Linked DNA regions of Drosophila melanogaster. The protein of the gene in region 1 interacts with the protein of each later gene in a pairwise test. Each region holds a gene or a part of one and is shown in the gene's direction. Other genes may lie near its edges.

Evidence for each region.
Region 2: the proteins of tgy (region 1) and Acadvl interact in a two-hybrid assay, tested with the Drosophila melanogaster proteins (one large-scale study listed by BioGRID).

What each region holds. Positions count from the first base shown.
Region 1 is NC_004354.4:19,122,662-19,131,014, reverse strand, and holds tgy (twiggy), read left to right. Parts: upstream 1-3,698; 5' UTR 3,699-3,710; coding exon 3,711-4,255; intron 4,256-4,551; coding exon 4,552-4,660; intron 4,661-4,727; coding exon 4,728-5,009; intron 5,010-5,370; coding exon 5,371-5,556; 3' UTR 5,557-6,012; downstream 6,013-8,353. Other genes in the region: CG15882 (uncharacterized protein), read left to right, coding at 6,739-7,215.
Region 2 is NT_033778.4:19,301,602-19,307,945, forward strand, and holds Acadvl (Acyl-CoA dehydrogenase very long chain), read left to right. Parts: upstream 1-3,570; 5' UTR 3,571-3,622; coding exon 3,623-5,506; 3' UTR 5,507-5,844; downstream 5,845-6,344. Other genes in the region: Tab2 (TAK1-associated binding protein 2), read left to right, coding at 1,074-1,277, 1,341-2,032.

The sequences.
Region 1 (8,353 bases):
TGGCCGGTATAAAAATGTAATAACAAAGTTGGCGGCGCTGCTTTTTATACCCTTTTTTGTCATTGCGTTTTGTGTTTGTGTGCAGTAAAAACTATTTGCCCAATCCCCTTGGAAACCCCATCCGCCGGCCATGACTCTTGTGTTTGTGCCAGCAAAATGCCAATGGACACAATGCGCCCACGGAAGGGTGGCTCAATTCAAAGAAGCGCTCAAAAACGTACAGAAAAGATATTGAAAATCAATTAAAAAGCTGGTTATATTTGACCATTATTACCTCTTTTAGCAAAAGAAGTGCTTACAAGTATGCTGCGATATGTGCGATTCTAATCCTTATGATTGCGGTTATGCTTATGAGATATATTGCTGCATACATACTGCATAACACTTCCACTGATGGATATTGCACAATGTTTAGCTATGGAAAGCGCATTTCAAATCTGCCTAACAATATGAGCCACCCTACTTCCTTACGTGTGTTTTGGATGGACCGTTGTCATATCAGTGAGCTAAAAGTAACCGCACGGTGCTCACAAGTATGCAATGGCATTGGCCTCCCCCCTGCAGCGAAGGACTTCGGGAGGGTGGAGGACCAGCTCCCGGATCCAGGGAAATTCGCAGATCGCAGGTCCCAAGTCCCGGCCACCGGATCCGAGCCCCAGTTCCATGTGCATTGGCATTGGCGGCGCCCGTCAGCGTTTTCATTTCAAATTCAAATGCTGTTTGCATAAAAAACGAGCCAAGACATCGAAAGGCATCACGTGCCCAGGAGTCGGTTCCTCCTCGCTCCATCCCAGTGGAATGTGGGGCCAAAAAACAAAAAAAAACTGCTGGAATTCAGTAGTGACAATAGCAACAAACGGATGCCGACAGCGATATATGAACGAGCAGTGGATGCACAAGAAAAAAATCATTTTAAAAATTATTATATGGAATTATATTGAGTGAATGGTATTTAATATATTCGATTCGTTTTTTATGAGAAAGTATGTTTTCAGGAACTAATCTATCTATACATATAAATATATTATGCTATGAAATAAGGTTTAACATGATTTTATGATATTTGTCTAAAGTAGTAATATTTACTTAAAAACTATTTGAGCAGTTGGCAAAAGGATTTATTAAATTCTCCAGCAAACAATATGAATAATAATAGTGCTTATTAGTTCTTATTTATTCAGTTAAGTTTCAAAATAGTACAAAATATGAGTGTGGTTCGCAGAGCCATCCAATTGAGTGGGTTAAGTGGGTGGAGTGCAGCACTGGTGTCGTTGGCCTCCAAATCCAACAAAAAAAAAAAATCGAATCGAAATAGCGAAAGACGTTTCACTGTGGCGGAAGTGAGATGAGTTGAGGTTCAGAGCGGGATGGCTGGAGGACAGCCAGCTGCCGGTCGTTTTGCATGTCCGTGTTGGGTTAAGTGGATTGTTTACTTTGATTACAAAAATATGGCAAATGTTTGCACGTTTGATGTCTCACTGCGTGTGTGTGTGTGTGTGTGTGTGTGTGTTCGTCGGTGTGCTTACGTGTGCATGTGTGTGGCGCAGACACATGCATTGGTTGGTAGTGGTGGTGGTGGGAGTGAGAGAGAGAATGAGCGATCTTGATTATATAGAATCTTAGATTGATTTCACAAAATATCCTATCTTATCAATCATTTTTCATGCATTTTTCTTAAGTTTGACTTTTTTCAAAAATGTGCTCAGTTCAGTTGTGTTTGAATACTTCAATTTATTCAAGATGAATCTTTTCACGCGGTCATCTCCATGGCAAACAATGCACACACACACACTCATATTTACATACAGAACGAAAGAAAGAGATGGAAAGGAGCGAATGAGACGGGGAGAAGTACATTCAGGCAGCGAGACAAATGGCGTTTGCCTTGGCGCGCTTGTAAAATCCGAAAGCTAACATTATTACAAAAAATCTGCAGTTATACATTTGACTTTGGTTTATTTTTGTGATTTGCCCAGTTTGCAGTTGACCAACCAACCGACCGACCATCGCAGGACTGCCTGTTTGGCTGAGTTTTTATTGTATTGAGGCTGCGGGAACCAGATGGAAAGGAACTGTTGATTGTGGGGCCAGTGTCGGCCGAAAAGATGGGATTGAAAGGGGGGGGGGGGGAGAGTTAGGAAATGGGATAGGTCAGGAGAGAGGAGACAGGATCCAGCTTCTTTTGTCCTTTAAATTGAATTGCCACCGAAGTTGCAGGGCAAAATAGTTGAACCGACATTAAACAATGGAAGAACGCGTTAAGTGGTTCTTACATACATACATTTAAAGTAAATTGTACCGGGAAAGTAATGGAGTCTCCTCCGCTGGCCAACGCCCATGGTCGGGCGGACCCACAGCCCATGTGGGTCACGTCATCGGAAAGGTCAAAGGCATTTATCAGGCCCACTTGGCACCCACTCCTATTTGCATTTCATGTTGAACTGTTTGCCCAGGCCAAAACTAATTTTGACATTCGAAGAGAAAAAAATGCGCGAGCAAAGCCGCCGCTTTTATTGGAAAAATTTGTATTTGTTTGGGCAATGGGCAATGGTAGAAATGGTAGCTGGTTTCTGCTTGCTGGTGGCAAATCGCAGCGGGGTCACACGCCCACAATGCCAAATAGTTTTCATTCTTAGCCGCTACTCCTCACCGCCGCTGGCTGCATTTTATTTTATTAATGGGAATTTGTTTGCCAGCGCAGGCGGATTGGATGGTTACGGGGCGCGGGGTGTAGGATGCGTCCAGGATGCGACCAGGATGCGACCAGGATGCCGCCTCGTCGCTATTATGGCAGCCATTTGTTTGCACGCGAGCATCCGAGTGCCGGAGCGTCGGAGTGCTGGAGTGCCCCACAGGGCGTATGCGCTATATTATTTTTCCCGCACTGCTGGCGGTCCTTGCCAGTGTGCCACGCCCACGCCTTAGTCCCCCCCCATCTTGGCAACGCCACTGAAAAGCGTCCAGCAACGACCACATGTCGCTCATGATTAATTGAAAGATTCTCTCAACTTCAACTGTTTTCGGGTTTTGCGTTCACCCAACCCCCCCCCTTTTAGAACTCACTTTTTTATTATTTCTATATTTTTCCTTTCGAGGTGCTTGTTGCTCTGTGTGCTTGTCCCAAGTGTTTTGATTAATGAACTATGCTGAGTGAAATTTAAACAAATTTCTTAGTACAATCCAAGCTGGCAAGCAATTAGTTTGGACCACTAAAGTTTTTAGAGTTTTTAAATAGATAGTGGCTTTTGGTACCTCTCTAAGCAGCTTAACTGTTACTCAATAATATATCAATATAATATTTATGATTGTGGATCAGGAAATACGCGCAATTAATTACATTAATTGTTTATTTATTTTTGTCTACTGTTTGCCACATGTACGAGTATATGTTTTTTTTTTTTAAATAAGGATTTCCATTCACCTAGAAACCATATCAATTAGTGTATTGCTATTTCCGCAGCTCTGGTGCAACTTTCACTCACTCATTTTAACTCTGTTCTGTGCATGTTACTCCCTCTCCCTCCCTCTCTCTCTCTCTCTCTCTTTCAACCTAGTAATAAGACTAATTGAGCGCACCTGCTCGTCGATGTTCCCGACATAAGTATTAGTTCTGCCAGCCACCTTGTCTAATCTGGGCCGCATTTTCCCGGCGATAAGACCATTTTCGATTGGTATAGACAGTGCTTACGATGCCGCAAGTCAGTGTTTCAATGGCCGGGGAATATATCATACTGGAGAACTCGTCGACTTATCCGGGCTTCCATTCCAGTTCCAACGGATTGGCGAATGGCATGTACCGCTCCGCCCAGCGCATCTCCACCGATCGCCTGGTCCTGCTCATTCTGCTGGTGAGCACCACGGTGATCGGGCTGTTTGCCTACTGGGATGTAATGGTGCTCAACGCCGGCGCACTGCCACTGTCCAGAGGCACTAGCTCTGTTGATTACATGGAGCCTGGACTGCGCAACGAAACCCTGGCCGAGAAGATGCATCGGGAGGTGAGAGTCCTGTGCTGGGTGCTCACCACACCCAAATACCACAAGACCCGGGCCATTCACGTTTTGCGAACGTGGGGCAAACGCTGCAATAAGATCTACTTCATGACCTCTGAGCCGGATGACGAGCTGCCCACCGTTGTGCTGACCAAGCCGGACCGATACGAGATGCTGTGGGGCAAGACCAAAGAGGCCTTTGTCCACATCCACGAGCAGATGCGCCACGAGGCGGATTGGTTCATAAAGGCGGACGACGACACGTATGTGAAAGATTCAGATTCTTAAATAGGGAAAGAGTGGCATTTTATTGCAGGAATTGATAAGTGAATGGATGGTTGTTTTCGTCACCACAGATACACGTACATATGTATATATGTATGTATGTATTTATTGAACATTATTATCATTCTGTTTTACCTTTGTGGTGTAACTACTGATGGTATCTCAATGTTAGGGCCACAGCCAAAACAGTTGAATGAAGAATAATTAGGAACCGATAAAGAAAAGATAGCATTATTAAAGTTTGACTGAACTTTCAATCTGCTCCTATCAATAGCTACCTCTTTTTGGAAAATCTGCGCTACATGCTCTACCCGTATTCACCGGAGACACCTATTTATTTTGGATTTAATTACAAGATGGTCGGCACTCACCAGAAGAACGAGGTGAGTTTATCTTCTGTCCGGTTCGGATTACATTACAAACTCACTGAATATGAATCCGATTCAATAGTCATACATGTCCGGCGGCAGTGGCTACGTACTGAGCCGCGAGGCTCTTAGGATCTTCGCCGAGGGCGTCAACGACACCACCAAGTGTCGCCAGGAGGACGATCACGCCGAGGACGTCGAGATGGGCAAGTGCCTGTTCAACCTGGGCGTGAAGGCGGGTGATTCCAGGGACGAGCAGCTGCGCAACCGCTTCTATCCCATAGCTCCTTATGGAGCCCTTCTCTCGGGCAACGTTGGCATGGACTTTTGGTTGTACAAGTACGCCTACTACAATCCGAGATCGGTGAGTTTGGATGCATTTAGCACCCTACTAAAAGTACGTTTGTATGTATGTAGATATATGAATGAATGCACAGCTTACCCATCCAGTACCTTTTAACAATCCAGCAAAATAGAAAATAAACTCAAGTGTCACAAAGACAACGCCATATTTTGCCAAGCACTCATATTATTTAGTCGAACGTAATCATCATTCTTCGTTACCAGAAAGGTGGTGGTAAGGTGCGTTCGTCACTGGCTTATAACCGCGTGAGGAGGCATTTTATCTTTGATATTCAAGCCTCAACGTATAGTTTTTCCACCTTCGTATTCGCATTCCTTGTCCTCTTTTGATTATTATCTAAACTATCTTCGTATTCTTGCAGTGCATGGACTGCCTGTCGGAGTACCCGGTGGCCTTTCACTATGTGCACAGCAAGCAGCTGTACGTGTACGACTACTTCAACTACCAGTTCCAGCTCTCCGGAAGGGCGCAGGTGGCGGAACGGCTGCCCAAGAAGATCCGGGAGGAGGAGCTGGTCATCCCCGAGAGCGACAATCCGGTGTCCTAGGCAGGAGCCAGCCATTCTGCCACTTCAGCAGCAGCAATCTCAAGTCCATATCTACATATTTTCCATCCTTTTTTTTTTGTGTGTGCTTATCGTGTATTTAATATATTATGGGCACAAGGCGAACGTGCCAAGGCTGCCAGATGCTGTCCTGTTGCGACTCCTTGTCCTTGCCCGATCCACGTCCTAGTTTATCTATTCATGTATTTATTATTGAGCAGCTCGTGGCAGACGGGCCACACGAAGGCATTAAAAGGATAATGGAGGGCTACTGGGTGGACATTTACTCTTGATTTCCAATGAGGATTTCAAAAAGTTGCATATCTAGAAAAATGAATTAGTCGCAACTATAATGGTATGGCTGCACTATTAACATTGTAAGTGTACGTACGAAATGACTGCAATCTCTGATCTGTTGAATGGTACAAATTAGAGTTGCCAGCTTGAACTTTGTTATGCCATAATAATCTTAAACTCTATAAATGATTGGCTTTACAACATATGTACGCAAGGAAAATAAACAGTTTTCTTTAGAAGCCTAAGGCGTATGAAATGGTTATACTTCTTGTACAGTTTTCAACAATCTACAATGAGTAAATGAAATAATAATGGCCACGTGGCGTTGAGTGGCTTAACTTACCGCAACTTGTTTCAAACCCTGGTAACACCTTTTAACGTCATTGTGCAACACTAGTACTAGAAATCGAAAAGCAAGTACATATTTGTTACTTTAAGGCAAATGATCAAAAGAGTGATTTTACTACTGCTGACATTAAATATGTGGATTATTATATAAAACACTCGATTCGAAAAATCGAATTACTTAACTTTTAATACTGGAAATAAAAATGATCATAGAGCATATTATTTATAACAGAATGTGTATAGTTTTTTTTAAATTATTTTAGCATTGTATTGAGTACAGTCAAGTGTTCTTTGCAAAAGCTCTGTTCCTATTCGAATTTTTTTTTACACATGCGGGCACACTAATTGGTATTTAAGTATGCCCAGACTTTTAGATCCAGTTAATCAGCTATTCGTTGAATGATTCTCACTTTATCCTTTACTTTCTACACGATTCAAGTGAGCTATTGCGAAATAAATTAAAAAACCAACTTTTCAATCTTCTGGGAATATTGAATACTGAGGAAAACCCTAAATTGATTGCTGCCGAAACCCAGAAGGATGGAGAACATGAACAAAGAACTCGCGAATATGGAGAAACTATCTTTGAAGGAGCTGCTCAGTGAGGACACACTCTCTGAATTGGCTACCCCGAATGATGTCGACATTGCCGGCGAGGAAAAGAACCTCGAGGGTCAATCTGTTTCGAAGGAAGATCCACCGCCTGCGGCAGTTGTACCCAAAGCGACCAAAGCGCCCAATAATCCCGAAGCGCTAACCCAAAAGCAGAGTATGGACTATGCGGCACGGATCGTGAAGGTCATCAACCTACAGATGCAAAATGTGGTGCATAAAACGTTCATGATGATGCAATCACCACTCCCTCTCCGGAACAGGCTACCAGTGGTCGTGTCCACCATGATCCGCTCCCGTAGGGCACCCAAGTTGAAGCTCAAAGATGTGAGGAGAGTGATCACGGGCCTGGCGCTGCATCGTGCACACCTGGTCTACGAATATATTATCAACCACCCCGAATAAGAAAACTTCTACATATGTTAACTTAATACAATAATTAAAAAATCCAAACACTCGCCGGCTCTAGTTTAGTTTAAAGTTCTATAGAACAAGGTTCATCGCACGCATACTACAATATATTACTGATGAATATTCAGCTAGTTTTGAACGTATTTGAAATATATTCGGCTCAAATTAGGCCTAAAGCTGATGCTTTTCAATTTATTAACTGAGGAGCCACTTCAGTTCAGTGGGTCACTATTACAATTATTCATTGGCTTATCCCTATAAGTCCACTTCAGAGCACTTAAGTCTCATTCTCGCAGGCAGCTAATTAAGGTCATCGCTCCCTGCGGCTCACCCCAAAAAATTTGGGTGAAACACTGGCATTCCAATAGTTCACATTCCCTGGGCTAATTAGGAAATTAGACTACCTACCGGCCGACATTTTGTGTTTCTTTGGAAAAGTCGGTAGAGTCGCGTCAAATGCGAATCGCATACGAATGGCAGTGGAATCAGAATGGAAATGCGAATTTTGCCTAAAATGCCGAGAAAAAATTGGACTAAAACACTTGCCGTAATGCGTGGTGTGCATTTTCCAAGGCAATCTGGCGAGTGGGGGCGGTGCTCCACATTGCTTTACCCGGCGACCCAGACAATTTCCGCTCGTAAAAGTGGTCCTCCGCCTGGTCTTGCCATTTTGGCCAGTGGCTGGGTGGCCAGTGGTTGGTGGCTCCTGGCCACTGTAATTAATACCAAAATAATTGTATTTGGATAACACAAACGTAATCAAGATTAATTGAGTAACAGCAGGTAGTTTGCATAATTAGAGCGCAGACAGTGGACTCCCCGCCGCCGATTCAATGCTCCTCCTTCTCCTACCCCTTGGCACCCTGTTCCTCCCATAAGCATAATTTGCAATTTCAACTGTCTGCCAACGCCTCCTATTTCCCGACTCCCCTCGCCGATGCCTGTCCACCTGCCACGCCCCTTCCCCGCTGGCTGCCCTTCGGCAGGCTGTCTGTCTCGCTTGTGGCTCTTTGGTTGGCAGGATCGGGTCCTGGACCTGCGGCATCCACCATCTCCTCTTCCCACGCAGTGGCTGGGAGGTACGGGAGCCCACCGGTTTAACTTTGAAATCGGACGCATTTTGGCGACCCAC
Region 2 (6,344 bases), on another chromosome or scaffold:
AGCGTTGTAGAAGAAAGCGATAGATAAACAAGCATATTGTACACGATTTATATTATTAATTAATTATATTTCGTTTAAAACATTAACCATATCGACCGCCCACGAGTTTAAAAATGCTGTCTTTTGTTTTTTGTCTGGCTTCTGGCTTTGGCCATGTTTTTCCCGATTTCGTACCCCCCATCCATCTCACTTTTCACATTATTTATACGTCTGTTGCTTTTGCCGCTCTTTCTGCGACGTTTTCAATTTGTTTTCGCCGCAAGTCGTTCAAGTTCAGGGCGATTCGTGTGGGTGGTTGGTAAAACCAGAGAAGAAACAAAGAAAAAGAGAAGAAAGCGAACAGGAAAATCTCTCCGTTTGATTAGCTAAGGTATTAAGCATACGCAGCGTGGGCCCAAAAGGCACTTACACTTTGACATTTAATCACGCGACGCTATCACGAGAAACCACTTTAAATGTCGTTCATATTGTTGGAGAATTTTCCATCGGTGTATAGAACACAAATTGGAATTTAGAAAAGCTAGAGCCATTAACGAAATAATTTATCAATTAAGATGCCAGCGAATCGCACATAATGATGTGACATATTCAGAGATCCCTTGGCCCACTGCCCTGTTGGCTATTTCCGTTGGAAATCTATCAAGCGTCTAAAAATATTCACATGAACAGTCGCCCAAAGCCAAACACAAAATGCATCGAAAGACTTTGTCTGTGTGTTTTTTGTATTCATTTATTTTTACCTTTTTTTTCGTAGGAATAAATTATTATTAGATTGATTTTTGGTTGTGCTTGCTTGCGCATTTTAACTAAATTTATCTATTTAAATATAAATTCTGTTTATGAACCCCTTTCACTCTGCGGCAGACAGGCGTTTGGTGGGGTAAATATTTTTAGCAACAAAACAGAGTAATAAAATGGGAGGCGTTAGACAGAAAAATAAATCTAGCCGCGGGGAGGAATATTTGGAAATTCGAAATGCCGCAAGGCAATCATTTGTTGCCAGGCCAACGGAGCTACACATTCCACAGTCAGCAAATCGATTGATCAGCTTTTCTTCTCTCTATCTACTTCAGCTCGTGCCGCCACTATCGAGCGTCAGAAGCAGCGTCGCGACAAGCTGGCCAATGCACTGAGGGACAACAAGAAGCGCCTGCTCGTCCTGGAGCAGGAGATCAACATCCTGACTGAGCCGGTGCCGGTGGGGGAATCTGAAAGACTGGATAGAGATATCAAGCAACTGACTGAGGACTGTAATCGGCTGCTTGACTGCTTAAATGGTAAGGATGATTGCAAAGTATATCGGTTTTTCTATGCTGACTCTGCCCCTCTTATATCCACAGAACCGCAGGCGAATGGCCCTGGTCCGGCGGCCAATCCCACGAACCGCCAGCACCTGTTACCAGCCAGCAATGCTTCACAGCAGCAGCCGCAGCAACAGCCACAGCCATTCCCGCGTCAGCGTCAAAGTGCTCGCGTCCAGGCGCCGCCCAGTTCACTACGTCTGCACTCGGTGCCGGCAGCACCCATCTCCCAGCCGGTGCAGGACTTTGGGCAGCACCACAGCAGTGCTCCCACCTCGGCCTGTTTAACGCCCCAGATGCAGAGTCAACAGCAACTGTTACAGCTGCAGCAGGAGCCGCCACCGACGTACGCCCAGTACTATCAGTTCCAGCAATATCTGCAGCAGCAGCGACAGCAGCAGTTACAACAGCAGATGCAGCAGCAACAGCAGCTACAACACCAGATGCAGCAGCAACAGCAGCCGCAGCCACAACAGGAGGAAGAATTCCTGTCCGACTCCGATGTGGATGAGGAGGAGGAGACGCTGGACTCGTGGGCCTGCAACATGTGTACATTCCGCAACCATCCACAGCTAAATATTTGTGAGGCCTGTGAGAACGTTAGGATCCAGCCGGGTATGATACGCATTGTTCCCAGTGGAGGCGGGGCCGCTGCTGCTGCTGCCACGCCACCCGGCAGCATTGAGCAGCAACAGCAGCCGTCCCAGCAGCCGTACGCTCTGCATACATAACCCAAAAAGCTGCACCAAACGATAACAAAGTTCTCTTATCGTGCATGAGCTAGCTCCTGACTGTTGTTCTTGCATGCTCGACTTTGAAACTGTGATAGCATTTAAACTAGTAGGCGGCAGGTTCATTATCCACTGCATGGCTCCACCTGAAAGACATGTGCGAAACGAAAACAACAGCGAACGGAAACGAATTGCTTAAGCGCGGCCTTTTTAAATTATTTTAACATATTCGATTTATGTATGTACATTAAATGCAATCGCCTCAGCCTCAGGCCGTTTAATTTAACAATATCCTCTAACCGTTAAACTAGCATTAAGCCAACGAGAAACAGAGTTTATTATTTTTAGCCCGCTCAAAAGTAAATAAAGAACGTTATTTAAATATTTACACAAGCTTCGCAAGTTGTTGCTTTACACGTTTTATTGGTAAAAAGCAAAAATACATGTGTCTGGGCTTTGGCCAAATGTTTACTTTTAGCCCCTGTTCTGAGCCGTGAGGACATACATATAACGCTATCGCCGGGCGAAAATCGTAAGTAGATAAATAAATAATTGCCCAACTGGATTAATTGATCATCTTCGATGTGCAGGTATTATACACTCCTGGATTCTATCATGACAGTCGGCCAAACGCTCACCATGAGAACATAGACAGCTCCAGCTCCAGAGATACATATCTGAATTCTGCAACTGAATTTCGCTTTAGTCTACGGTAACTTATCCTAAGGAATTGTAAAAAGATTTGAGGAACTATTCTATTTAGCAAAAATGCTGCTGGCAGCAATTAATTTATTATCGATACTAGATAAGAAAAGACTTTAAGCAACGTCGCATCAACTGAAACTAGATATTATTAATTGTAATGGAAAACCGTGTACATTTTGTAAATATTTATTTAACTGAACAGAAATGAGTTAGGATTTAGAAAGAAAAGGTCAACCGACAAGGGAACTTTTGTAAGCTTTTCAAAAGCCGCATATTTATCGACATTAAACTGCAGTTTAAGAGCGTCATTTGTGTTTTAATTTGGAGTTGGGGGCAGTTAGTATTTATCAACAGCGGTAAATTATTAACTATTTGCAATATACAGCAGGATTGATAATAATATTACTCCAAAACCATTTCTTTAATCTTCTTCATCAGATGGATCAGATTTATAATATCTGGTTCAAAATGCTTCTCTTCCACATCCAGATCGAGATTTAAGTTAGGTTCAAATACATTTTGTATTTCTAAAAACGCTTCCAGAGATTTGAAAACAAAGAGAATTGAAGATGCTAAACGATTTTTGGATAAGTTCTATACAATACAAAAATTCTCAAAAGCAGTAACAGTTATATAAAACAAGTAATACGACTAAAAACACTCCCCCAGAAACTTTTCGAAATTTAAAAAACTCTTTAAGTGATTTGGAAACCAACTGAATTTAATATGCCAAACGATGAATACTCCGGTACTCGGTGCTCTGAGGAAATATACCAGATTTGGACTGCGCAAGTCGCGGTGATGACGTCGTCGTGGGTGATCGGGAATGTGGGCACACTGCAGACTCTCGGTCCAAAGGGCGATTTACCAAACAATTTCGAAACTATGTGGAGGCACACGATCCAAAGTACCAGGTACCTGGCAGGAAACGCCTCGCTTTGCAGGCAAATAGCGACGCACAGTCCCAAACTGGGGGCGGAAAGCAATCGCAGCAAGGAAAAGGCAAGTGAGAATGAGTCCTTTATGGCCAACATCTTCCGTGGATCACTGGTGTCAAGCCAAGTGTTCCCGTATCCGGATGTCCTGACCGCGGAGCAGAAGGAGCTGACCAACAGCCTGATAGATCCGTTCGAGCGTTTCTTCTCCGATGTCAATGACGCTGCCCGCAACGATGCCAACTCTAAAATAGATGACACCACTTCGACGGCTCTGTGGGAGCTCGGGGCCTTCGGAATCCAAGTGCCATCTGAATTCGGTGGCCTCGGTCTGAACAATACCCAGTACGGCAGGCTGTGCGCCATTGTGGGTGTCAACGATCTGGGACTGGGCATCACGATTGGCGCCCATCAGAGTATTGGCTTCAAGGGAATACTGCTGTACGGCACCCCCGAGCAGAAGGAGAAGTACCTGCCCAAGGTGGCCGCCGAGCAGGTGTACGCTGCCTTTGCCCTTACGGAACCCAGCTCCGGATCTGATGCGGGTTCCATTCGATGCCGTGCCGTGAAGAGTGCCGATGGAAAGCACTACGTCCTTAATGGCTCAAAAATCTGGATTTCCAATGGCGGAATTGCCGAAATTATGACCGTTTTCGCACAGACCGAGCAGGTGGACCCGAAGACTGGCGAGAAGAAGGACAAGGTCACTGCCTTCATTGTGGAACGATCCTTCGGAGGTGTAACCAATGGACCACCGGAGAAGAAAATGGGCATCAAGGCATCGAACACGGCCGAAGTGTATTTCGAAGATGTAAAGATTCCAATTGAAAATGTGCTCGGCAAGGAAGGTGATGGATTCAAGGTTGCCATGAACATATTGAACAACGGTCGGTTTGGAATGGGCGCCACGCTATCGGGAACAATGAAGAAATGCATCGAACAGGCCACCGAGCATGCCAACAATCGAGTTCAGTTTGGTCAAAAACTAAAGAACTATGGATCCATCCAAGAGAAATTGGCTCAGATGAACATTCTGCAGTACGCCACGGAGTCGATGGCGTTTACTATTTCACAAAACATGGATGCCGGCAGCAAGGACTATCACTTGGAAGCCGCCATCTCGAAGATCTATGCTTCGGAGAGCGCGTGGTATGTTTGCGACGAGGCTATACAAATTCTGGGCGGCATGGGATACATGGTGGATAATGGATTGGAACGAGTCCTGCGTGACCTGCGCATTTTCCGCATATTCGAGGGCACCAATGACATTCTCCGGCTGTTCATTGCCCTGACTGGCATTCAATATGCGGGATCCCACCTTAAGGAACTGCAGCGCGCATTCAAGAATCCCTCGGCCAATTTGGGACTGATTTTCAAAGAGGCCTCCAGGCGGGCGGCCTCCACTGTCGGCTTGGGCGGCACCGATCTGAGTGGCCACGTAGTGGGTGAACTCTTGCCTTATGCCAAAAAAACGGCCCATTGTATTGATCTTTTTGGACAATCGGTGGAAGAACTATTGCTGCGATACAACAAAAACATAGTTAACGAACAAATTTTGCTAACACGACTGGCAAATGCAGCCATTGATATTTATGCAATGGTTGTGACGCAATCGCGATCATCCCGTGCAGTCAATCTGAATCTGCCAACTGCACAACACGAGCTCAACATGACCAAGGCACTCACTATTCAGGCATCTGATCGAGTGATTAAGAATCTACAGGCTGCCACATCCAGTCATCATAGGTCTCTCAATGAGAAGATTTCCACCATCGCCAAGACCACTTTGGAAAATGGCGGTGTGACTACGACTGGAATCTTGGATCAAAACTAGACCAATATACTTTTATACGAATTTTAAGCCCTTGATTGTTAACCTAGTATGAATGCCAATAAAGTCTTGTAAATAATAATCGCTGAAGTCTAAAGTTCACCTCGCTCTCACATACGAAATCTCTCTAAAGTGATTATGCACTATCATTGAACAAATGAGTAACAAATACTTGATCATCTATAAATGAACTCAGATAATAGAACTCTTGAAATCAAATCACCTCTATTCCTTTTACGTAGAAAAGCTCACAAATATAATTTAAAGCACTTACCATCTCGATCTGATTTTCAAAGCTGGACGGGCAATCTAATGAAATACAAAATAAATCGAACTTAATTTGGTTTTGTTGTTTTAATTTTGATCATATATTTGTAATTATGTAGTATAATAGTTGGTGTTTAAAAATTCGCTTTTCATATTACAACATTGTTTGTTTGCTGAAAACCTAAAAATCATCGTTGTTTACTTTTTAATTATTGTATTGTACGTTTTCAACAATATTTATCTGTTATTTTTTAGCTATCAAGCGCCTTGGTGTTTCAAAGTTTTGCCTTAAATGTAACAAGCAATATTCTTTTAATTGACTTTCAAAAATTGCACGAAAAATTTGGTAACATAATAATTGCAGCAAATATATTAGATAATAATTGGAAACGCCTTCGCTGAATATATAGATAATAGGATTAACAATTTCATACTTACGTTTATAATTATAGGATATATAGTAAAGCACAGAGAATTTCGCTTGTTAACTAAGATATTGACAAACATAACACATATATAATACTTTTTCGAGTGTAGAGAAGCTTAATAAAACAGCACTTTCTCTTTAGATATG